Linked DNA regions of Tamandua tetradactyla. The protein of the gene in region 1 purifies or fractionates together with the protein of each later gene. This does not show direct contact. Links are inferred from orthologs where the notes say so. Each region holds a gene or a part of one and is shown on either strand. Other genes may lie near its edges.

Region 1 (7,425 bases):
CAAAATCAATCATACAGGAAAAACTGGAAAAATATTTTCAACATATATTGTAGTTAAAGAATTAATATTCTTAATATGTCAGGATCTCTTAAAATTATCAAGAATAAGGTAAACATCTTAATAGAAAAATGGGCAAAACATTAAGAGGTAATTCACAAATGAAAATATGTAAATAAGCAGTAGACATATAAATAATTGTTGAACCTTACTAGTAGTATAAAATTGCAGGATACCTGGCAACGTGGGACAGAGATCCTGGAATAAGCTGAGACTCAGCATTAAGGGACTGAGAAAAACCGTAGAATGAGCTGATAATTAACATCAAGGGATTGAGAGAACCTTCTCGACCAAAAGGGGGAAGAGTAAAATGAGACAAAGTGTCAATGGCTGAGAGACTCCAAGCAGAGTCAAGAGGTTATCCTGGAGGTTATTCTTATGCATTAAGTAGATATCACCTTGTTGTTCAAGATGTAGTGAAGAGGCTGGAGGGAATTGCCTGAAAATGTAGTGCTGTGTTCCAGTAGCCATTTTTCTTGATGATGATTGAACAATGATATAGCTTTCACAATGAGACTCTGTGAATGTGAAAACCTTATGTCTGATGCTCCCTTTAGCTACTATATCAACAGAAGAGTAGAACATATGGAATAAAAATAAATAATAGGGGGAACAAATGTTAAAATAAATTCAGCTTGAAATAGTGGTAAATGAAAGCGAGGGGTAAGGGGTATGGTATGTATAGTCTTTTTTTTTGCTTATCATTTTATTTCTTTTTCTGTTGTCTTTTTATTTCTTTTTCTAAATCGATGCAAATGTACTAAGAAATGATGAATATGCAACTATGTGATGATATTAAGAATTACTGATTGTATATGTAGAATGGAATGATATCTAAATGTTTTGTTTGTTAATTTTTTTTAATAAAAAAAGTTAAAAAAATTGCAGGATAGATCAGCAATGAAATATTATTTCTTCTGGCTGTCAAACTGACTAACGTTTAAAATAAATTATAATACCAAGTATTGGAAAGAATGTAGAAAAATAAGAGTTCTTATACACAGCTAGTAGAACTGCATGAAATTCAAATTCCACTTCCAGGAAATAAAATAGAATAAAGACATAAAAATAACCAAGTGTGCCAATTTCACAAAAAAAGAAAAAGAAAATTTCTCTTCTAGGATTCTATTATAAGAATAGCAACCAAAAATGTTTGCAAGGATACTTCTCTCAACATAGTTTATAATATCAAATCATTGGAAACAACCTAAATGTGTAGTAACAGGAGATTAGATAATCAAATTATTATATATCTATAATAGGGAATACAATGCAGTCATTAAAATCATGTTATTAAAGATAATTAATGTCACGGGAAAACAGTTACCATATATTGTTAAATTGAGAAAGTAAATTACAAAGGCAATTTTATGTTTAAATATTTATCATATATATGAAACTGAATGTATGTGTAAATTGAGTTTGTGTATACATGGTTGTTAGAGAGAAACATTTTGTAAGTCTGTATAGATATAACTGTTTTAGCTGGGTGATAATATTATAAATGACTGTATTTACTTTTTTATCATTTTAAAATAGTTTTCAGATTTTCTTAATAAACATACACTACTGTTATAATCTGGAAAGAAGTGATATGTTAAAAACAAATTGGAGGGAGAGTAAGAGGTATAGTATGTATGAGTTTTTTCTTTTTTCTTGTAATTTCTTTTTTTGGAGTGATGCAAATGTTCTAAAAAATGATCGTGGTGATGAATACACAACTATGTGATGAGACTGTGTGCCACTGATTTTTCACCATATATGGAATGTACGTATGTGAAGATTTATCAATAAAAATATGAAAAAATAAAAAACTCAACTTAGCAGTCACTGGGTGTTATGCACCAGAAAGATTCTGGGAAACAAGGGGAGAATAAACAGTAAGATATCAGTGCATCTCCTATTACTCAGAGCCTTAGGATTCTTGCATTCAGACTATCTCAAACCTCTGATTCTGAGCCCAGTAACTGTTATCTCTGGCCAGGTTGAAAACTAGATATAACAGCATTTTGAAACAGGAAGTTAGAAGTTTTCTAGGTTAAATGATCTAGATCTAAATATCTGGGGGAAAGATGCTGAGAGTATAATCAATATGTGGTAGAGTGAAGAACTTTGTAAGGGCATTTTACTGTGTTTCACAGCACCACTAGATTACTTACAGAAAATCTAAATGTTCCAAATTTCTTAAAATCTCACGCTCTCTCTTTCTCTATGTCAAACAATCATCTCTTCTTACCAGAATCTGTCTTTCAGGGGGCGGATTTTTTTCAGGAACCACTGTTTCAACGCAGGTGATCTTCTCTACATCTATTGAACCCTTTTTACTGCCTCTTCTCTGAGAAAGAGAATGTGGAAGAAAATGGAGAAAGAGATTAAGGGTGATTGGGCAACCAGATGATTAGATTTTGTTATCTAATCATTCTACATAGTGAGGTGACACCCACACTCTATATCAGGACCTGTCATCTTGAAAGTATTAATCTAACCCATTTTGACAACCAGATGGAGGACAAACACTATAGAAGAGTGGATGTGTGTGCCTTATCATAAGAAATAAGGAAGCAATTTCCAACTCTTGGATTCCATTCTCAACAATCATTTAATGAATGCTCACCAATTACAAGATTCCATGTTAAGATCCATCCCCCACCGCCTTTAATCATGACTTCTCTTGAGTTTTGCTAAGTTTAATTGTACTTAGGTCCATTTTACCTTGCTCTTACTACCTCCTCCCTAAGGAATTTCTAAGACCAACCCCTTGAAATTCAGGTTTCACAGCAGAAAAACTTACCCCACGTTCAAAGTCATACTCATAGTAGGAAAGTTTGTGCACGGTCAAGAGAAAGAGACGCTTCTTGAAATTTAAAGGTGATGTTTTCTTTTTCTGCTGAGATCTCTTGAGAAAGATGCTCTCCAGGATCACTGCAGCCATAGCTTCTTTCTGGAGCTCACTTGTGTGCTGTTGATAATAACAGTTTCTGAGGATCCAGTACATCAATCCTCACCCCTACCTCAGTTTAACCCTGGTTTTGAATGAAACAGACCATGAAAACCCTACCTTGGTATCCTCCTTTCATAGTCAACAGCTCTGTCAGTTTTTGCGTTTAATGGATATTGAATTGGGGAGTTTGGTCCTACATTGTGTCTTCATGTAAGGCAATGAATTGCTCTGGATGTCAAGTGGCATGTACCTGTGTCCTTGGCAATGTCCAGAGACAACTTTACGCTAATCACTCTTATGGTACATGGAAGAAGATCTGTGAACAGCAAAAGTCTGTGTAACTGTTGACCCTAAAAATCCCAGAAGGGATAATGTAAGTGCCAGAACTTCACGGAGGGAGATATTGAAGCCTCAGTTCCCAGTTTCCTAGACAGTGAATTTAATTTTTCAAATTGTGTCCTATTAAGAGTCTGTAACCAAGAGGTCTAATAAGGATAAGGAGGCTGCACCTGTAGTTATGGACAAACACTACCTGCCACCCAACTGATTTTGCCCATCACCTACTGAGCTACAAAGGATGGAAGCTTTGCTCTAAAGTTGAAAAAAAAATTCAGTGGGGATATGGTTGTTTCTGTTCTTGACCTTTGGCTTTTTTTTCTTTTTGCTTTGATTAGTTCTTTTAGACAACATCACGCAAAGGTATTGCAACTATCTTACTGCTGTCTCTGATCATTTATGAAGAATAAGTCCTTGTTTAGCCTTCTCCAAACTTACAATATTACAGAAAGTTTCAGTTTAAGTAACTGAAATACAGAAAGGCAAAGAAAGTCATCAAACTTTTTTGTTTGACATCAAAACTTTTTTTATTTACACAAAACAAAACTTTGTATCAATTGTTCACTTTAAGTTAATGCACAATCTTATATTACTAATTCCAAACTTTCATTAGAAAGACAAAGTGAAAGCTTAAATATTATCACAAAAAATAGAGCACCAATAAGTACTGAAAAATCACCAGTCCCTCTTCCCATCCAAATTTTGCTAGAGGTGGATAATTTTTCCTATGGAGGGGTGAGGCTTATTATTATTATTTGAACCAAACTCCTTGTGCTTTTGGTGGCACTATGGAAACAAAATAAAATTGGCAATTTTTCTCTACTGTCAAGCAAAGTGGTTATTTTCAAAGTTCAAAGCAATATGTGCCATTATTTTACTCTTTTTTTTTTCATTATTCTGCTTTTTTCTAAGGTGTAGAAGGTTCTACGATCATACTGAGGAGACAAAATGATTAAAGAAACACCAGGAATGTTCAGAATGTTTGCTTTGCCACTTACCCTCCTTTATCTTATGGTTGTGGATTAGTTCAATATTTTGCAAATCATATTTTCAGAAAAATTGCACAAGGGAGCAAAACTTTCCCCATTCCCTGACCAACACCTCTCTTCCCTGATTCCCTGGCCTTTGATTGAAATGACATATTGATATTGTTTCCAACCAATCAGAGTCCTTTCTAACATTCAGATTCAGCTGAAACTCCAAAGAACTTCCTTTTAACATTAGAACTATTCATTTACATAGAAGTAATGGCAAAACCAATAATTACACTCTATTCTCAGGAGCTGCCAACTCATTGAGATCCCTGTTGTAAAATCACATTTGCTTCCATGACAAATTTCAAAAAAGTACCCTTTCAAAATAAAAAACTCAAATTACAGAAGATAAAATAAAGCCCTAAAGGAATTGAGTAGCCTGATCAGTAAACAGAATCAGAAACCACATCCAGTTGTGTTTTCTTTTAGTAAAGCACACGTAGCTTGTTACCTTTAGTTTTGTTGCAAACTCCCTGCTCAGATCCAGCATCTGCTTTGGTCTTGGTCTCTGCTCTTATTTCTACAAGACACATCCTGCTGGAAACTGCCTCTGCTCTTTCTCTTTTTAGAACAAATCCAGTTTGTACAAAAGGAAGCCTTCATCTTTTCCAAGTGTCTGTGTTGGGGTAGGGTCTGAGGAAGTAAACCTCTCATTAGCCATCGCCTTACTGAGCAATGGATGAAATGGCTTCCACCTCTACATCATGCTGTTCAATAGGATTTCAAGGACCTGGTATCCCACCCACACACACCCCTCCCTATCCCCCCCTTCTTTTTTTTTACTTTTTCCTTATTCTTTATGAACCAGTCTAGACACATGTAGCCTGGAAATATGGTAGTTCTTTCTTAGTCACCACTGGTCGTTTCACCAAGAATGTGAAAGGAGAGGCATCCATCTTTATGTCTTCCCCACGGTTAACATGTAATGGACAGCTCTGAGTTAGAGATAGTTGTGGCTTCTTAAGATACTTATTGTGGAACTCCCCAATTTTTTCTAACAATTTCAGCAGCCTACAGATCCAACTCGACCACAAGAGATGCATAGACAGGACTGGCCCTGTGCCTCACTTAGGGAGTAAGGGTGGAAAACAGAAGTGATGTGAACATTATACACACAGATGCACACGCAAACATACAGACCATGTTCATATGGAGAAAGAAAGAGGGGAAGGGAAAATTATAGACAGACACAGAGCTCTTTAATTAAAATACAGAGTTCCAGTGTTATAATATTCTCTTTGTTGAACTACAATACAAGGATTTTCACATGATCACCTTTTGCAGCTTCTAGCTCCCTATAGAGCAACAGAATTCAGAAAGAAGATGCTTATTAGAAAGGGTTCAGCCATCAAATCAACTGCACTATGCCAAAGAATTAATATAAATAGCACTTGCAGAATCAGTCAACTAAACTGGCTCCTACATTTGCTCGTGTTAAGATAAAACACTATTAAAGACAACACCAAAGCAAAATCTACAAAACTATACAGCCTGCCTATGATTGGAATGAGACCACTGTGGCCTTCAGTAAAGTAGCAAGCCATTGGTAGGAGTCAAATTGGTTTCTTAAAAGAAAAAAGTACAATTACATGTGTGGTGGGTCATTGTTCAGTACAGTATATATACAAGGGTAACAGTATGCAGGATGTTTTCATACAGTGTATTTATGGCTTGTCATATAAATTAAAGGCCTTGTATTTAATATTTTTCAATCCTTTTAAATAAAATTGTTCTTTGCAAAAGTTCCCTTGGGAGAATGGGAGAAAGGAGGAAATATTTAACCTCACCATTTGGAGAATTTCTGATATTCTTGTAAACAGTGGGAACAACCAAATCAACAGGCTGAGCCCTTGATCTTGGGGTTCACCCCTATGAAACATTGCTACAAAGGATAGGCTAGGCCTACTTAAAATTAGGCCTAAGAGTCATCCCCAAAGAACCTCTTTTGTGGCTCTCATGTAGCCTCTCTCTCTAAGCCAACTCAGCAGGTGAACTCACTGCCCTCCCTCCTCCATGGGACATGACTTCCAGGGGTGTAAATATCCCTGGCAATGTGGGACAGAAAGCCTGGGATAAGCCGGGACCCAGCATCAAGAGACTAAGAAAGTCTTCTTCACCAAAAGGGGGAAGAGAGAAATGAGACAAAACAATGTTTTGTTGGCTGAGAGATTTCAAGCAGAGTCAAGAGGTTATCCTGGAGGTTATTCATATGCATTATAGAGATACCCCTTTTAGTTTTTGGTGTATTGGAGTGGCTAGAGGGAAGTAGCTGAAACTGCTGAGCTGTGTTCCAGCAGCTTAGATTCTTGAAGACAATTGTATAAAGATATAACATTTACAATGTGACTGTGTGATTGTGAGAAACTTACGTCCGGTGTTTCTTATATCCCCAGAATGGACAGTTGAGTAAAAAGTATGGATATAAAATAAATAAATAATAGGGGGGACAAATGTTAAAATAAATTGGGTAGATGGAAACATTAGTGGTCAATGAGAGGGAGGGGTAAGGTGTATGGTATGTATGAGTTTCTTCTTTTTTCTTTCTTTTTCTGGAGTGATGCAAATGTTCTAAAAAATAATCATGGTGATGAATACACAACTATGTGATGTTATTGTGAGCCATTGATTGCATACCATGTATAGAATGTATGTGTGTGACGATTTCTCAAATAAAAAATTTTTAAAAATGTGTTCTTTGAAAGAATGGTTGGTGCTTATTTTTTCAAAAATTATTGTTAATAATGTGATGACAATATGCAATATTTATCTGATGAACTATAACTATCTTAATTTGGTTCTGTAAGTTTTCTGTTGCACTTGTAAAATGCTACAAGGAATATTTAAAATTCTATTCACTTTAACTTATAATAGTTAATGAAATAAAAACAAGAATCATAGCTTTTGTTATGTGGTAATCTATAAAAATGTTTAACCTTGAAATTCAGTGTGAAGAACTGAAAGTAATGTACATGTTGTAAATATTTGTATGTTGTGAGAAGTTTTTGTCATAAAAAATTTAAAAACTTCCCAAGAAAAAAAAAAAGAAGTAACCAGCCA
Region 2 (7,773 bases), on another chromosome or scaffold:
ATGGATGGATGGAGTACTGCATCTCCAGTTTAGTCAAATGCAATACCTAATAGATTTGCTTATTCTTAAAATTAGGATGGGCACTTGTTTTCAAATGAGAACTTATTTCCCTTTTCAACAAATAAATATGAGCATTTAAATGAGTCAAGCGTAAGTTAATGTATCTTAGAAACACTCTTTCTTACCTGAAGCATAGTCCCTTTGGGGAACACTTGGAGGTGCTTTGACTTTCAGCCTGTAGATAATAACCATTAAACAAATGGTTAGAGAATAGGACAACAGGTGTCATGATAGAAGCTGATATAAAGATAACAGGTTGATGACTAATAGAATAATAGCTTATTTGGGGCACATCACATTTAAAGACAATAATGGTGAAGCCATTAACTCAGGGAGTTCCCACCTCTCCCCAACTCCCAGTGCACAAAGCGGCTGCCACATAGCGAAGGCCAAGACTGGCAGTAAAAGGCTGCACAAGGTCAGGGTACCATGAAGCACTGAGGTCAGAGGTTCAAGGACGATGTGGTGATTGGGTGATAGGAGCAGGAGAGAAGAAGAACTATATTTTAATGGTTTGCAAATCTTTAAATAACAGAAGAAAATTAGCTAGAATGAGCACTTCAGTTATAAATTGGGCTGAAATTATTTTTTGCACCATTGGAAAAAAAATTACTGAGCAATGTGCAGTGAATATTTCAAGATTGGGGACTGTGACATTTAGTTTATTTAGAAGTCCAACAGTTTCAAGCACCTTCCAAACTACTTTTAACACATCAAGTGTGCTGAATATTCAAAGTCTTTCTTAACTCATTAAAAGAAGAAAAATTTTAAAAATTTAAAAATTTTTTAAAATTACATTTTTAAAAAGTATTCTAATTTTTAGACTTTTCATAAGTTCTAATATCTACCTTTCCATTATTTGAAATAGGCAAGGTTTATAGAACATTATTAATCTTAATAATAGTTTATGTATTTTAAATAACAAAATAAATCTATATATTTTCAGTAATTTAACTCTTTAAAATATCATTTTAAATTATTTCCTTAATGAAATTTATAAATTATAAATAAAACCAATATCAAGTAACATTTACCAGAACTTCATATCCTTTTATAGAAGCATTTATTACATTTATCTATGAAATAAAATAATCATTTCATACAAAATACATTTCATTTCTTGCAAAAGAAAAGTATCCCAAAACTCATGTTTTGTTATAAAAAAAAAATCCCCTACAAACCATAAAAATAATAAAACCTATAATTTTTCAAAAATAAAAGATTTGTACTTGTGTAGCAATTCTGCTCTTTGTCACCCTAAAGGCTCTCATACCATTTTATTCAATCCTTGTAGCAAACCATCAGGGTGTGCTGGGAAAATGTTACCCTTATTCCTATGATGAGGCCCAGAGAGAGATTGCACAAGGTATTGCAGGGAAAAAAAAATGAAAAAACTGGATATGGTGCAAGGCCTGTTCAAGGACCAGGAAAGCTAAACAAAACAAACAACAAAACCCACAAACCAGCTACTATATTGCCATCGTTTTGTGAAAGAAATTGCATTTTAAATGGGGTTTTAAAATGGTATTTTAATATTTCTAAATGTAGGGAGGTTATAATCTCAGAATAAAGGATTCACTTAAGGAAGGACTGTTGGCCACTGAGCACCGACAGGGACTAGAGGCCAGGGTTTGGATCTTGCTTGCAGCCTGCAGCTGCACAGCGAACTCTAATACTTCAAGGTTCTTATTTTCTCACTTGGCCACAGACCAGCGAGGACTCCGTCACAGTCTTATGTAAAAGAACCAGGGTGCTCGACCGTGCTTCCTCCTTTCAAGGTAGCACCTGCTGCATGGTTTCGAGCGAGAGCTTCACTGCACCTCATTTTGAACCAAAGGGTCATTAAGTTCTCCCAGAATAATGACTATGGCCGCCACATTTTCCCAACCAAGCTGGAAAAAAACATGGCTTGTCAAGTAAAAGCACTTTTGGGGACAATGGACAGAATGTTTGAAATGGAAACTGTCCAAGAAAACTCTTGATCTATGGTTACTGTAAGATGATGACTTACCATGGAATTGAGGGACATTTTGTACAAAAGCTCCATATCATTGAGGAAGCTGGTGTATCGTAAAATTGGCAACTATGGGATTCTAGATCGATTGATCTAGAATTTACAGTCATTGTTACAATCAACAGCAGTGTTCCCTCATTTGAATGGGATTCTATGCGTATCAGAAATAACATCAAAATAAAAGTAATTGCACACCTCTCCCAGTTATATCCCAGAACAAAAAGACAAAAGTCTTTCTAAGATGACCACTATCCCACAAGCAGGGGCACATTTTCACTATTTTATGATGATCGCGTACACTAAGTGAAACTCCTTTATATTTTTTACATATTCTAGTCTAACATCACTACCCAAAGTGACTTCTTAATTATAAATTTACTTAAGATAAAAAAATGAAAATACTCTGTGCTGAAGGCATGGAGAAAATGAACTCTTTGGTGATACAAAATGTTTTAGGGAAATTTGGTGATAGTAATCAAAATTTTAAGGGCATACAACTTTTCATCCAGAAATTTCATTTCAGGAATTTAGCTTACTTGGGTATTGAAAGTGTGTAGCATATTTATCACGGTATTATTTGTGACAGTTAAGCGAAAAAAAAATTAGATTTCTATTATCAAAGTGCCTTCCAAAGCTATGGTACCAATTTGAATCTCCACCCTCCTTAAAAATGCCCACCAATATAAAATTGGTTAAATAGGCCATAATGCATTTACAGCAGACTATTAATCGTGAGTTCAAAAAGGAATATAGTTTTTTTTTACAAAGATAAAAACGCCCATGATACAGCATTAAGTAAAGCAAACCAACAAAGCAAACTAGCAGAACAGTCTGTATAAGATGATACCATCCATGAAGAGAAGGTTTATGTGTATTGGTATGTACTATATCTGTGTCAGTGTGTGTGTGTGTAAATATATATATGCCAAACTCATGATAATATCTGTTTGGGAAGAGTGGGTTAGGGTGGAGGTATGGGGAAACGAGAGGTTTTTACTTCATATAATTCTCAACTCTTTAATTTTTTTTTACCTGGTGAATATGTATTATGTTTCACTAAAAAGAAAAAAAAGAAAAAAGAAAAGAAGCAAACAAAATTCTTACAAAATATTACATCGCTTTTCCTCTTACATTTTGAGTAACAAATGCAGATATGTACATTTCTATTTTCTTTTTTAAAAAAAGGCTTAAGAGGTTTTTGGTGTATAGGACATTTGAGATTCAAGCTTTTCTTCTCCAAGTATCAGCAGAAAATACCACTTTAAGGCAATAGTTGAGAGAACAGAAATCAAAATAGAGCAAACAGCCTGGCACTGTAGAAGCTAAGGACTCTGTTCCTGTAACTTATTTGGATTTTTCCAGGCATGTCCTGGTGGCCCGTAGCTTAATATTTATAGAAGCTGATTTTTCTGCTTTGATGTTCTCTGGGCACCTTGAATAAGCATCCCTCACCTTTCCTGCGGGAGAGGGAAAGGCACAGTGCCCCGGGCACCCCCCCACTCACTCGCCTGTGGTTAACCGGCAGGGACTCAGTCATGAGTGAGAGAGCGTTACAGGCCAAAGATCTTGTAACTCCTCACTCGGGTAACAGAACTTTCTATTCTTCCACTTAGCACTGGTTGACATATTAAAATGGTTTCTATAGTGCCCTGATGTTTAACTTACTTTTTGATTTTGTTCATTATTCCACCTTCGTTGTGCTTGATATCATGGACCATCTTTTGAAGTTGCCTGTAAGAAACAAAATTAAACATGAAATATTAGTAATTATTATACAGTTACGTTATATAACTAGGATGATTTTTTTAAACACTTCTTGAATATAAAATAGAGTGTATTATATTTGATTACGTTGACATCTGTTACTTCAGATGGAAAGAGAAAGCATGGCTGACTGTATAAGGAATGTGGTCCCTGGGCTGTGTCCCATCTGTTGAGCTGTCTGGGCCAGCCTCAGGCTGTGAAGGCAGGAATTCTACCTCACAGATCATCTGTGCTCAGGAGACACGTGAGGCAGAGGTGTCAGTCAGTAGAAGGAGATTACTCTGATTTTAAGGCAGCCATTTAAATTTAGTGGGGAACTAAATGTTAAAGACATTTTTTCAATTGAAAGCTACTTTAGTTAAGTGGCTAGGGTCATCCCATAGAATAACCTAATAAACAACATAAGGGGTAAAAATAAGAAAGACTCAGGAGAGAGAGAAGGAGATGGAGAGGGAGAGAAGGTGGGAAAGGGGGTCAGGGAGGAGGGAGATAGGAGAGGGGAGGAAGGAGAGGAATTTTGGATTTTTCCAGGCATGTCCTGGTGGCCCTTAGCTTAATATTTATAGAAGCTGATTTTTCTGCTTTGATGTTCTCTGGGCACCTTGGATAAATATCCCTCACCTTTCCTGCGGGAGAGGGAAAGGTACAGTGCCCCGCACTGGTCCATAACTTAAGGACAGAACAGGTGTGTAGGAAAACTCCGGGAGAACTCCCTAGTAGTCTCTAAATTCCAAACACTTTTTCATTCCATTTCCAGTCCTTAACATAAACCTATTTTGTGCTCAAAGTTCTTGGAACTGGCTGATGTCCCACGCAATCAAATGAGCCTAAATCAGAAATTGGTACCAGGAATGAGATTATGCATACAACCATCAGCACAGTCTGGAATGGACGGCTAACAGCGTATGTGCCTTGATGACACAGCTATGAAGCTATGTAAGTCTCTTAGATAAGTGCGTACCAAAGATGAAGCTTTTGAGATTTAGCAGCTCCTACCTTAGAATAATTTAATAGGGAAAAGGATGCAAAATGTAGGGCAGATGGCCACTTCTCATAGCATTGGGCAGTTTGCAGTGAGAAAGGGTTGTTCTCTGGTTCTAGGTTGCTTTATGAGAGAAAATCTGGCTGATTGTAGCCACCCTTTGAAATCACTGAACACCAGACCCAGTCATGTCAACTTAATGCTTTGTTATGCCAGGTTTCTCTTGTCAAAGTTAATTATTTGCTGGCAAAGTCAGAGACGGTGACAACTGAAATGCAGATATTGGGAGGACCCAGAGGAGCTGGCAATTCCCTGCTCCCTGGTCTCTTCCCCAGTACTTCCTCCCATGTCCCCATTCCCAAAATATGAAGTTGTCTTACAGTATGACAAAGCCCCTGAAATTAGGGGTGTAAGGTAGAAGAAGCCCAGAAATAATCATTCTTCTGTTCTACTACAACCTAGAAATCAGGATTTAAGAGATGATTTTGATTACTGAATCATTATATAGACATTCCTTTCTGCTTTCTGGTATATTGGAGTAGACAGAAGGAAATTCCTGGAATTTCTAAATTGTAATCCAGCTGCCTTGAATCTCTGATAATGATTGTATAGCCCTTATCTTCTGCCCCTGTGATTGTAAAAACCTTGGGACTAACTTTCATTTGTACCCAGTTATCCAGTAATCACTAAAGACGGCCCCTAATGTTTATTAATGAAGGGTCTTGGGTCTGCCCAGAACTAACCCTTCCCAAGTTCAAAGTTATTTTTGATGACTGAGACTGGATCTAATCAAAGTGGAACTGCTGGACATGTGCAGTAGCTTAGACTTTAACCTACAAGTCACCTATATCTTCTTCCACCATTTTCTTACATATGTTCTGTGACTAAGCATGTGATCAACCTGTGCATCCCCAGTAATCAGATCCCCTCTAATTACATCACCTGGGGCCACTGTGCTCATTATCCTGAACTCTGCCCATATTTTCTCTTTTAAAACTATCCAAATTACCACAGTTCAGGAAGACAGATTTTGGGCCACTAGGCCATCTGCTCTCCTGCTACTTGCCTAGTAATAAACTCTTTCTCTCTTTGAAACCCCGGCATGCCAGGAATTGGTTATGGAGCATGTTGGGCAAAAGAATCCATGGCCTTTGTCCATTAAAACTACTCCAGTGCTAAATTCCCAGTCCAGCCTCGAGGAATCTACTATGAAAAGGAGGACAGTTGGGAGGCAAGGTGTACTTTTGCCAAGCTATTGGGCCTGGTGGGAGCAGTCCTTGGCTCTCAGTGCTACTCTTAGAGGAGGATATCATAGTCCAGATTCTGCAGGCATCTTATCAGAGAAATATCCAGAAAACCTCAAACTCAACATGGCAGGGAATTTTGGCTCCTCAAGTAGCCTTGTGATTTGAACTCAAAGAATGGAAAAGCCCAAAAGGTAAATTCCTGCAATGCTAGAGCCCCCATCACTTGGTCAGATTTGCCAGCCAAGGAACTCACTTCACTGTGAATGAAGTCAGATGACAGTTGGACAACCATGAAGTTCTCTGTTCCTATCAGAGGCCTCACTGTTCATCACTGACTGTCCTTGGAGCATCCACATTACAAGGATAGATGCTACCCAGAAGGACAAAATATAGGCGGAAATTAGGTTGCAAGACTTTTTTAAATCTCTGCTAGGTAGAAACTGGAAAAACTGTCATGCAAAAGCTATAAAGAAAATGATTAATGAATCTGACTATATAAATATTTGAAATAATAAGCACACAATCAAAATACAAATGCCATCCTGGAAGAAACATTTGTAACATGTAATAGTAACATTAAACATTTTCTTGATTTATAAAGAACTCTTATAACTCAGTAAAATAAGATGAACAATTTAATAGAAAAATGAGCAAATGATATGAACAAATAGCTAATAGAAAAGAAATGCAAGTGGCCAATAGATCAATGATTTAAAGAAATCTAAATTGAAACAATAATGAGATATCATGTTCTACCTATCAGATTGGCAAAGATTAACAAGTGTAATAATATCCAGGGCTGGTGAGGGTGCAAGACTACAGATATTCTTGGGAATGTGAATTGTTGCAATTGCTTTCTGTCAAAAAAGTTAAAACATCTATACTTATTGACCCCGCAATTCCACTGCTGGGAATTTGTGAATTGTCCCAAAACTTTGCCATTGATGTTTATTGCAGTATTATGGACTGCATGGACCCAATCCTCCCTGCCTCTGCCCCAAAGCAGCTGGAAACAACCTAAATCCAGTCAATAAAAGGGAACTGGTTAAATAAATTTTGATAGAGCCATAAAATGGAATACCACAGACCCTTAAAAAAATATAAAAAGAAAGAAACTTGGATCTGTATTGCTGATACAGAAAAATCCCCAGGAGATATTAAGTTTAAAATAAAAGGAGGAAGAAGAAAGAAAAAGAGGAAAGGATGGAAAATGCAGAACAATGTGTATAGTTGGGGAGAAGAAAAACATACATACATTTGTTCTTGTACATGCATAATTTTTTACAGGTTATGCAAAAAGTTTGTTAAAAGGTGGTTTTCAAAACCAATGGCGTCCCTTTGTACAAATTAAATACAGGTGCTCCTTTTGTCTGGGTGGACCCTGCTCTGTGTCAGAGCGTTCAACCTGCAAACAGAGCAAGGCTGGATTTTAGCCCCCGCTTGTTCCCATAGCTGGGCACCCTCATACAGGGACAGCCCAACCAACTGCAGGGTGAAGACCTGGCGTCTGGGAGTGCGCTTGATAGGTGTTTCAACAGGAAGGAGAGGAAATGCAAACTCAACTCGATTAAAGGAGTTTTACTGTGAGGCTATGCACTGGTGGACTGATGCCTAAGATGGCGACAGCAGTGAGCGGAGAATGGGGCACAGCTTATATAGGATGGTTGAAGGGAAATAGGGAAAGGGAGGTGGTGGGTTTTCTCTAT
Region 3 (8,105 bases), on another chromosome or scaffold:
GCAGATGTGATGAAGGTTAAGGACCTGGAGATAGGAAGATTATTCTGAATTCTCTAGGTGAGCCCAATCTAATCACAGAGTCCCTAAAACTGGAGAAACTGTCTCTGCTGCCAGAACCAGAAAGATGGCATGAGAAGGGCTCAGCCTACTGTGACTGGATTTGAAGAGGAATACAAGCAAGGAACGTGGGTAGTTAGGACAAGCTGGAAATGGCAGGAAAACATTTTTCCCTTGAGCCTCCAGAAAGGAATGCAGCTCTGCAGACACCTTGATTTTAGCTCAGTGGGACCCGTGCTGGATTTCTGACGTACAGAATTCTAAGATAAGAAATGCATTGTTTTAAGTTCCTAAGTTTGTGGCAATTTGTTACAGCAGCAATAGGAAACGAATATATCACTTTCCCCAAGTCACAGAGGGAATTATATTAGTGGATAAAATTAAAAAATGTTTTCCTATAAATTTTCTTTGCATCTTTGATGTTGCTACTGCCTTGTCAGCTGGCAGATGCTGGAGAGCAATAATAAAAAAAAAAACCAGACAACAGTGGTGTTCTGCTATGAGCTCCACCTATGCTTTTCAAATGCTCTGTCAACTGAAGTTTGAGAACCAGGGACCGACCCAACTACCATTAAGCCTCAGTGAGTAGGCTAAAGGTGGTGGCACTGCCTACCCGACCCCTGGCAGTTAAAGCTGAATGTTCATTCCCAACGCAGAGGTTGAAAAATGAGCAATAACTCTCTGCGGAGGACTGCGCTGGGAGCCAGGGGTGTAAAAGCAGACAATGAGCCCAGCGGTGATAAATTATATGACATCAGGAAGTTCAGGGTAATAGGGGAGCATAAGGGACTAAGCATCTAAGCCAGATTCACCTTCTACAAGTTGACTGCAAAGTTACACAGTAAACAAAGTGAGCCTCGAGTTAGGGGTAACCTGGTAGGCTGAATTAAAGCACTCTCTTCTCAGGTAATGTGTTAATTGGATTTTTCCTTCCCCAAACCAGTCCACAGGTCCTTGGAGCTAGGCCCAATGTGCACACTCACCTGTTTCCACGTCATTGGCATTGGCTGAGTCCCGGAGCCTCTTCAGAGCTATGACAAGAGTAAAGGAATTCCAGTTAAAAAAAAAACAAAACAGGTGTGATGAAGCAGAAAGTGGATGGGAGATAATCCACTCTTCAGCCATAATAGCACCTAAAGGGAAGAAAACTGCTAGCTACAAGAGATACTACACTGGGAACAAGGAGAAACTTGAAATGTGGCACTAGGGTAGAGGCCGCATGCTTGGCAAATCCTCCAAGGCCTCTGGATCTTGGCTCTGCCATTTATAGTAGTGAGGTGAACTTGGGCAAGTTTAGTTAACCCTTCTGGGTCTCAGGTCCATCATCTCTAAAACAAGGTTAAGTTCGACCCTGCCAGTCTTGAATTGTTGGAAAGATGAAATGACATAGATAATTTACTTAGAAGCTCTTTCTGAGCTAGTTACACAGATCTTCTTATTATACTTCCTCCAAAATAGGTCACTCCCAAATGACTTACCTAAACTTGGTCATTCTTAAGCAAAAGCATTTTTCCCCTCCCTTGACACCAACTCTATTTAGAGGCTAGTAGAAAGCAATAGCTTTGTCATCAGGGAAGTGGTTAAAAATTCCTTACATTCCTATAGCACTTTATGGTTTTACAGAACTTTCAAATTCTCAATTAATCTTCACAAGACCCCTAAAATATCGGTGGAATCACAGATTAGTCCTAAAGGGGACACAAGAAGCCCCATTCTTAATCTTTCAGAGTCTTGGTTTCCCTGTCAGCCATTAAATGTAAAAGCTAGTATGGTAAATATACAGCAAAGTAGGAGTTTTAGAGTCAAGCAGACCAGGGTTCTAATACCAGCCCAGCCTCTTTCTGGCTAAGGACCTGGAGCAAAACAATGTCACTGTGCCTTGGTTTCCTCTTCAATAAAATGGGAACAATATCTGGATCTCAAAGAATTACTGTGAGAATTAAAAATTACCCCATATCACCCAAAACAGTGTCTGGAACACAGCAAAGGAGGTCTAATGGTTATACATTCATTATTTAACTGAACTCTCACAATAGCCCTGTAAAGCAGGTATTGTACACACTGTACAAATGAGAACACTAAGGCTGAAAGGCTCAACAGTTTGCCTAAGGTAGAGGAGTCCATCCCAGGTCTGCACATCTAAACAACTGGGTACCACTTGGTTACGAGCTCTGGCCTCCCCTCTCTGATAATAAAAGTATTCTCTGGTATTCCCTTTTATTGCCCACTAATAAATACTTGGGGTCATGAAAGTTTCTACTTAGGAACTACCAAGTGTGAAGGTCAGTGATGACAGGCTAGGAGAAGTAAGACATTAAAAAAAAAAATTCGTGGTCCTTAGCAACTATAATAACAGTTATTGAAAGGAGGCGCTAGGGTCATTCTGGCCTTAGCCCGGGCGTCCCGGAGTTCCAGGCTGCGAGTGACGGGGAAGGCCAGGGTCCCGGGTACCGGGGAGGGGCGGGGGGCATGGACGGGCCGCCTGCCTCGCGCTCCGCCAGCCCGCTCCGCTCCTCACCGTAGACTTCCCTGCCGGTGGGCCCGAGCCGGCGGTGGGGCCTGGCGGCGCGCCTCAGCCGGCCGGCGGGCATCTTGCAGCACAGCTCGTCGCGAGGCTCCGCGTCTTGCTGCCACAGGACGTGCAGGTAGCGCAGCGGGGACTGGGCCCCGCTGGACGACCGACTTGGGAGGCCCGGGCTGCCGCCCAGCGCCGCCCCGAAGTCGGCGAAGCAGAAGAGGCCATCGGGACCAGTCAGAGGCTCCGGGGCTACCGCACACTCGCCATCCGAGCTCGATCTGCCCGAGCGCGGCTCATCTTCCGCGCCCCCTGCGGCTGCTGCCATGGTAACGGTTCTGCGCGGGCCTAGCCGCGGGAGCCTCGTTCCCGACAGACCAACCGACCCACTTCCCTCCGCCGTAAGCCGCGCTGTCAGCGAGTGAGCCAGAAGACCGGGCCCGGCCTGCAACTACCGCACCTCAGCGGGGGACGAGCTCGGGTCTTCCGGACCAATGATAGCCCTTCCAGCCTAAACCCTGACAGCCAATCGGGAAGGGAGGGCATAGTACGCACGAAAGGATTGGACAGTGTTTCTGGCACTGTGACTGGCGGACAAAGAAACCAATAAAAAATTTGAAGTGCCCACGGTCCACGCGTACGTACGTCGCTACCGGAGCCAATAAAACAGCAGAGTCTAAGACATTCTTTTTTTTTTCTTCAATTTTCCCCCGTCGGATTATGGGAAAGACAGTGGGAAGGGGCTGGAGCCAATTACATTTAGATGAGCAGCAGCCATTCACCAAAGAAAGATAAGAAGGCGGGGAGGGAGGGAGTGTGAACGTAGAAAAAGAACTTCTTCCCAATGCGTGGTCCAAGAAGGAAAGTGAAAGTATGTCAAAATGTGGGGCTGTGGAGTAATAGTTTCTAAGGGTGATAGATTCTCTTTAGTCTGCGGTCTCTCGCCCCCCCCCCCCGCGCGTTGATCACTAATGATTTACAAAGCGTTATAATTAACGTAATGACACTACAGCGACACTTCAGTCCGAGAGTCGGTCACAGAGCGGCTGCACGTCCAGGACACAGGATCAGACTTGGTGCCCACTGAGCTGCTCACGGTCCCCAGGGACAAATCCGGGAGCAAGGAAGTGTTCTGCAACCAGACAGATAACCGTGAATTTACCATTACTGTTTTGGAAGAATTCTCACGTCTTTGTGCCCCGCAAACACTTCTGTAAGGTGGGCAAGGAGGAACCTCCCTATTTTATAGATGAAGAACTGAAATTGTAAGGGTGCGCCCCACTACAAAATCACAGAGACAAGTGGCCTGTTCACGGATGCCCAGCGTTCTTGGGTCAAGGACTTTTCCCACCACATAAACCCTCTCACTGTCAGCCAACCCAATTAAAAAGTAATCTTCCTGACAGTTGAAAAAAGCACTTCCAGATTTTGTAGTGTCTGCGGGACACCGTTATGAGAATTATCATTGTAGAAAAATAGTATATTTGAACTCTCCTCCTCTGTCCGATAACAAGTAAGGACACATGCCAACTCCACTTGTAGCTAGAAGGAAACAGGCAAGAAACAAATATTATTGAACATATACCATTTACCAAGGGCTTGATATACATTTAGATATTATTATATCCACTTTGCAGATCAGAAAACTGAGGCCCTGAAATATTATGTGAACTGTACAAGGGTACAGAGCAAGACAGTTAAAAGTGGCATTTGAATCCAGACCACCGCCCAAGGCCACACTCCCCTCTTTCATAAATGAAGAGCCTGCAGGAAACCTGACTCCAGGAAGTCTAAGTGATATCTGAGCATTTACACCTCACTCCTGATGAATGTACCCCTGAAAAAAACTTTATTATTCCTCCTCTTTTTCCAAGTAATGACCTTCAAAACAGTCTTCCCTCCATTCTCTCTTCTTAGAATCTCAAATGACAAGTATCTATGCTGCCTAAATTGGCAAATCTCTTCAAGTTCCTAGAAACTTGTTTGCCCACTGAGTTCAGGTTGAAGTCTAAACCCTTTATGCTGGTAGTTAAGACCCTTCCTAATTTGGATCCAATTATTTTTGGAACTGTTTTCTTTCTCCTATCAAGAGGAGAAAGATTGATCTCCACACCATCTTGCCTACCAAGATGTTTGCTTCAGCAGAAAACTTTGAATCTAAGCAGGATCCCTGAACAAACAGAGGTGGTTGTTAATTTTACTTCTAATTTAAAGTCAAATTTGTGGAGGCATAAACCGCATGGCCCAGCCCTCCATCTGTTGCAGGAATTACTTGAATGTTGGAATGGGAAGAATGAGCTGTGTTTGAGTGTGGATTCCGTTCATTAGCCTCAGAGTTTCAGACTGGAACTTGAACTCTCCTCTGCCCCATAATCAGTAAAGACAAAATCCAACCCTATTTGTAGCTAGAAGGAAACAGAGGAAAGGAACAAACGTTATGTACATGTACCTTATGTACTAATAAGGGTAGGATGCTGGCTAAGACCATACAAATCCTACATGACAGTGGGCACATCACACTGGCTGGAACTTGACCCTGAGGGTGTTGCAAGCATTCATTCACACACGAGCCATTTATATTTGGTCAGTCAGCAAATAAAACATAAAGCACCTAATAGGAGACAAAGAAAATACCAGTAACATTGTCTTGTGGGCCTCCCTGGCAACGAGGGACAGAGATCTTGGAATAAGCTGAGACTCAGCATCAAGGGATTGAAAAAAACCCTAGAATGAGCTGAGATTTAGCATCAAGGGATTGAGAAAACCTCGACCAAAAGGGGGAAGAGGGAAATGAGACAAAGTGTCAATGGCTGAGAGATTCCAAACAGAGTCGAGAGGTTATCCTGGAGGTTATTCTTATGCATCAAGTAGATATCATCTTGTTATTCAAGATGTAATGGAGAGGCTGGAGGGAACTGCCTGAATATGTAGAGCTGTGTTCCAGTAGCCAGGTCTCTTGAGGATGATTGAATAATGATACAGCTTTCACAATGTGACTGTGTGATTGTGAAAACCTTGTGTCTGATGCTCCTTTTAGCTACCTTGTGAACAAAGGAGTAGAACATATGGAACAAAAATAAATAATAGGGGGAACAAATGCTAAAATAAATTTAGTTTGAAATGCTAGTGATCAATGAAAGCGAGGGGTAAAGGGTATAGTAGGTATAATCTTTTTTTTTCTTTTCTGTGTTCGCTTTATTTCTTTTTCTATTGTCTTTTAATTTCTTTTTCTGAATTAATGCAAATGTTCTAAGAAATGATGAATATGCAACTAAGTGATGATGTGAATTATGTATGTTGATGTTTTATTTTGTTTCTTAATTTTTTAATTAATAAATTAAAAAAAAACATTAGAACCAGTTTCAAACCCTAGCTACCCTACCAATAAAAATTGCATTATTTAATAGGTAATAAATAATAACCTCAAATAAAAAAAAAAGTCTTTGCCTGCCTGGGAATCCAAGTCCAATCTGCCACTTTGTGACTTGGGCAAGGTCTTCCTCTCTGGGCCTCAGTCTTACCATCTGACAGGGTTATTTTTAGGTCAGATATTGACATCTTTGGCCCCTTAGGCTAGAAATAGCTGGTTGAGTTTCCTTTCATTCTTTCTTTCCCAAACCCTATCGACCTGTTCAGAAATTTGAACTGCTTGTCAGCATTTAAAGATTGATAGCTTTTACAGAAAAAAATATTGACTTACAGGTTCTCTTAGAAATGGGAATCTCTGGCAAAGCAAGGCCTGCTTTCCTACTTGGCAACAGTTGCTGGAGCTGCATAGCAACTCTCCCCTTTGAGTGGGCATGGTGCGCTGGTTTGCTAGAGTCCCCACTACTCCCTATTATTGCCACGCCGAGGCTGAAGACAATTGCTATTTATTGTCATACTTGGCTGTTGTTTTTAAGTAGAGTTAACAGGAAATTAAAATAGTTCTGTCTTTATTAAAAGTAGTATAATGAAAACTAGTGTGTGGGGAAATTACCTAATATCTGAAAATATAGCGAATGGGGATCCTGTGATTTTAAATATTGGGCTTGAGCATTTTTAATATTGTGCTAGAGCATTTTTTAATAAGGCCAGGTAAGAGACATCAGACTCTCTGGGGAAAACTTAACTTTGATTAACACTTGATTTAGACCAAGAATTGTCTTAGAATTTCGTAAAGTTAGAGGTTAACTTGAAGAAAATGGATAAGGTACAATGATGTTTATTTTTCCAACGGAGAAGATAATCCCAATGTTTACAATTTTATTGCCCTTAGACCATGATTTAAGTTTGGATCTAACTTAGCAATCTAACAGCTTTTCTTTGCTCAATAACTATCCATCCTCAAATTCTTTTCGAGCCAGCTCTGTCACACTGTTGGTTCCTTTAAGGATTAAATAAGCTCTACTATGTGCACACTCTCTATTTGTGATAGAATTATATTTTAATTTATTAAGAGTATATATTTTTTGTCTATCATATAAGTTCTAAAATAATTTTTGGTTCGTTTGTTGTCAATTTTACTTATAATTGAAAAGTCAAATTTATTCAAGCATAAAATACATACATATGATAACACCTTCACATTTTAAGTGTTCAGGTCAATGATTTTTGACAAATATATACACTCCTGTACCTACCAACCCAATCAAAATATAGAAAATGATGGGAAGGTAAAATGGTACTGTCACTGTAGAAAGCAGTATGGCATTTCCTCAAAAAGTTAAATGGAGAATTGGTATATGATTTGGCAAATTCCACTCCGAGGTATATACCCAAGGAAATTGAAAACAGGGACTTAAACAGATATTCGTACACTAATGTTCATTGAAAACAGGGACTTAAACAGATATTCATACACTAATGTTCACAGCAGCAGTATTCACTATAGCCAAAAGGCAGAAACAACCCAGTGTCCATTAATAGAAGAATGGATAAATAAAATATGGTACATACCTACAACGGAGTATTATTCAGCTGTAAGAAGGAATGAAATTCTGAGACACGCTATGACATGGACAGACCTTGACAGCATTATGCTCAGCAAAATAAGCAAGGCACATGAGGACAAATATTGTGATTTCACTTATATGAAATATTTAGAAATAGCAGAGAACAGAAAGAAGATTAAGGGTTACCAGGCTACGGGGAGGGTAGAAGCAGGAGTCGTTGCTATATGGAATGTTTTCAAATCTTGGAAATTATAAAATAAAATTAATGAAAAAGATATAAACATGAGAATTATATTTTTAACAATTCAAGAATTGTTCTTTTAGATTACAGAGAGAGGGCCTTGTGTTTTTAGAATGAGTGAATATTTGTGGGCAAGGACAAGAACCTTAAATGTTTATGATGAAAGAAAGAATACAAGTTAAGATGCAGTTAGGAAATCCTAGAATGAGCTGGAACTCAGCAGGAAGGGATTGAGAAAACCTTCTCTTCCAAAAGGGGGAAGAGAGAAATGAGACAAAATGTCAATGACTGAGAGACTCCAGAGTGGAGAGGTTATCCTGGAGGTTATTCTTACTCATTAAATAGGTATCACCTTGTT

Evidence for each region.
Region 2: the proteins of BTK (region 1) and BLNK purify together in Homo sapiens (affinity purification with western blotting; 5 studies listed by BioGRID and IntAct, with this or other methods). This does not show direct contact. The link is inferred for Tamandua tetradactyla from reciprocal best matches to the Homo sapiens genes BTK and BLNK.
Region 3: the proteins of BTK (region 1) and ANKRD54 purify together in Homo sapiens (affinity purification with mass spectrometry; 4 studies listed by BioGRID and IntAct, counting the BioPlex papers as one, with this or other methods). This does not show direct contact. The link is inferred for Tamandua tetradactyla from reciprocal best matches to the Homo sapiens genes BTK and ANKRD54.

Annotation. Positions count from the first base shown.
Region 1 is NC_135353.1:72,132,163-72,139,587, reverse strand, and holds the start of BTK (tyrosine-protein kinase BTK), read right to left. Parts: upstream 3,014-7,425; 5' UTR 2,990-3,013; coding exon 2,849-2,989; intron 2,393-2,848; coding exon 2,294-2,392; intron 1-2,293. UniProt on the Homo sapiens protein: Non-receptor tyrosine kinase indispensable for B lymphocyte development, differentiation and signaling. Binding of antigen to the B-cell antigen receptor (BCR) triggers signaling that ultimately leads to B-cell activation.
Region 2 is NC_135339.1:57,439,201-57,446,973, forward strand, and holds the start of BLNK (B-cell linker protein), read right to left. Parts: upstream 3,015-7,773; 5' UTR 2,248-3,014; coding exon 2,072-2,247; intron 236-2,071; coding exon 186-235; intron 1-185. UniProt on the Homo sapiens protein: Functions as a central linker protein, downstream of the B-cell receptor (BCR), bridging the SYK kinase to a multitude of signaling pathways and regulating biological outcomes of B-cell function and development.
Region 3 is NC_135333.1:30,208,069-30,216,173, forward strand, and holds the start of ANKRD54 (ankyrin repeat domain-containing protein 54), read right to left. Parts: upstream 3,066-8,105; 5' UTR 2,901-3,065; coding exon 2,576-2,900; intron 2,505-2,575; exon of another isoform or gene 2,329-2,504; intron 1,089-2,328; coding exon 1,041-1,088; intron 1-1,040. UniProt on the Homo sapiens protein: Plays an important role in regulating intracellular signaling events associated with erythroid terminal differentiation.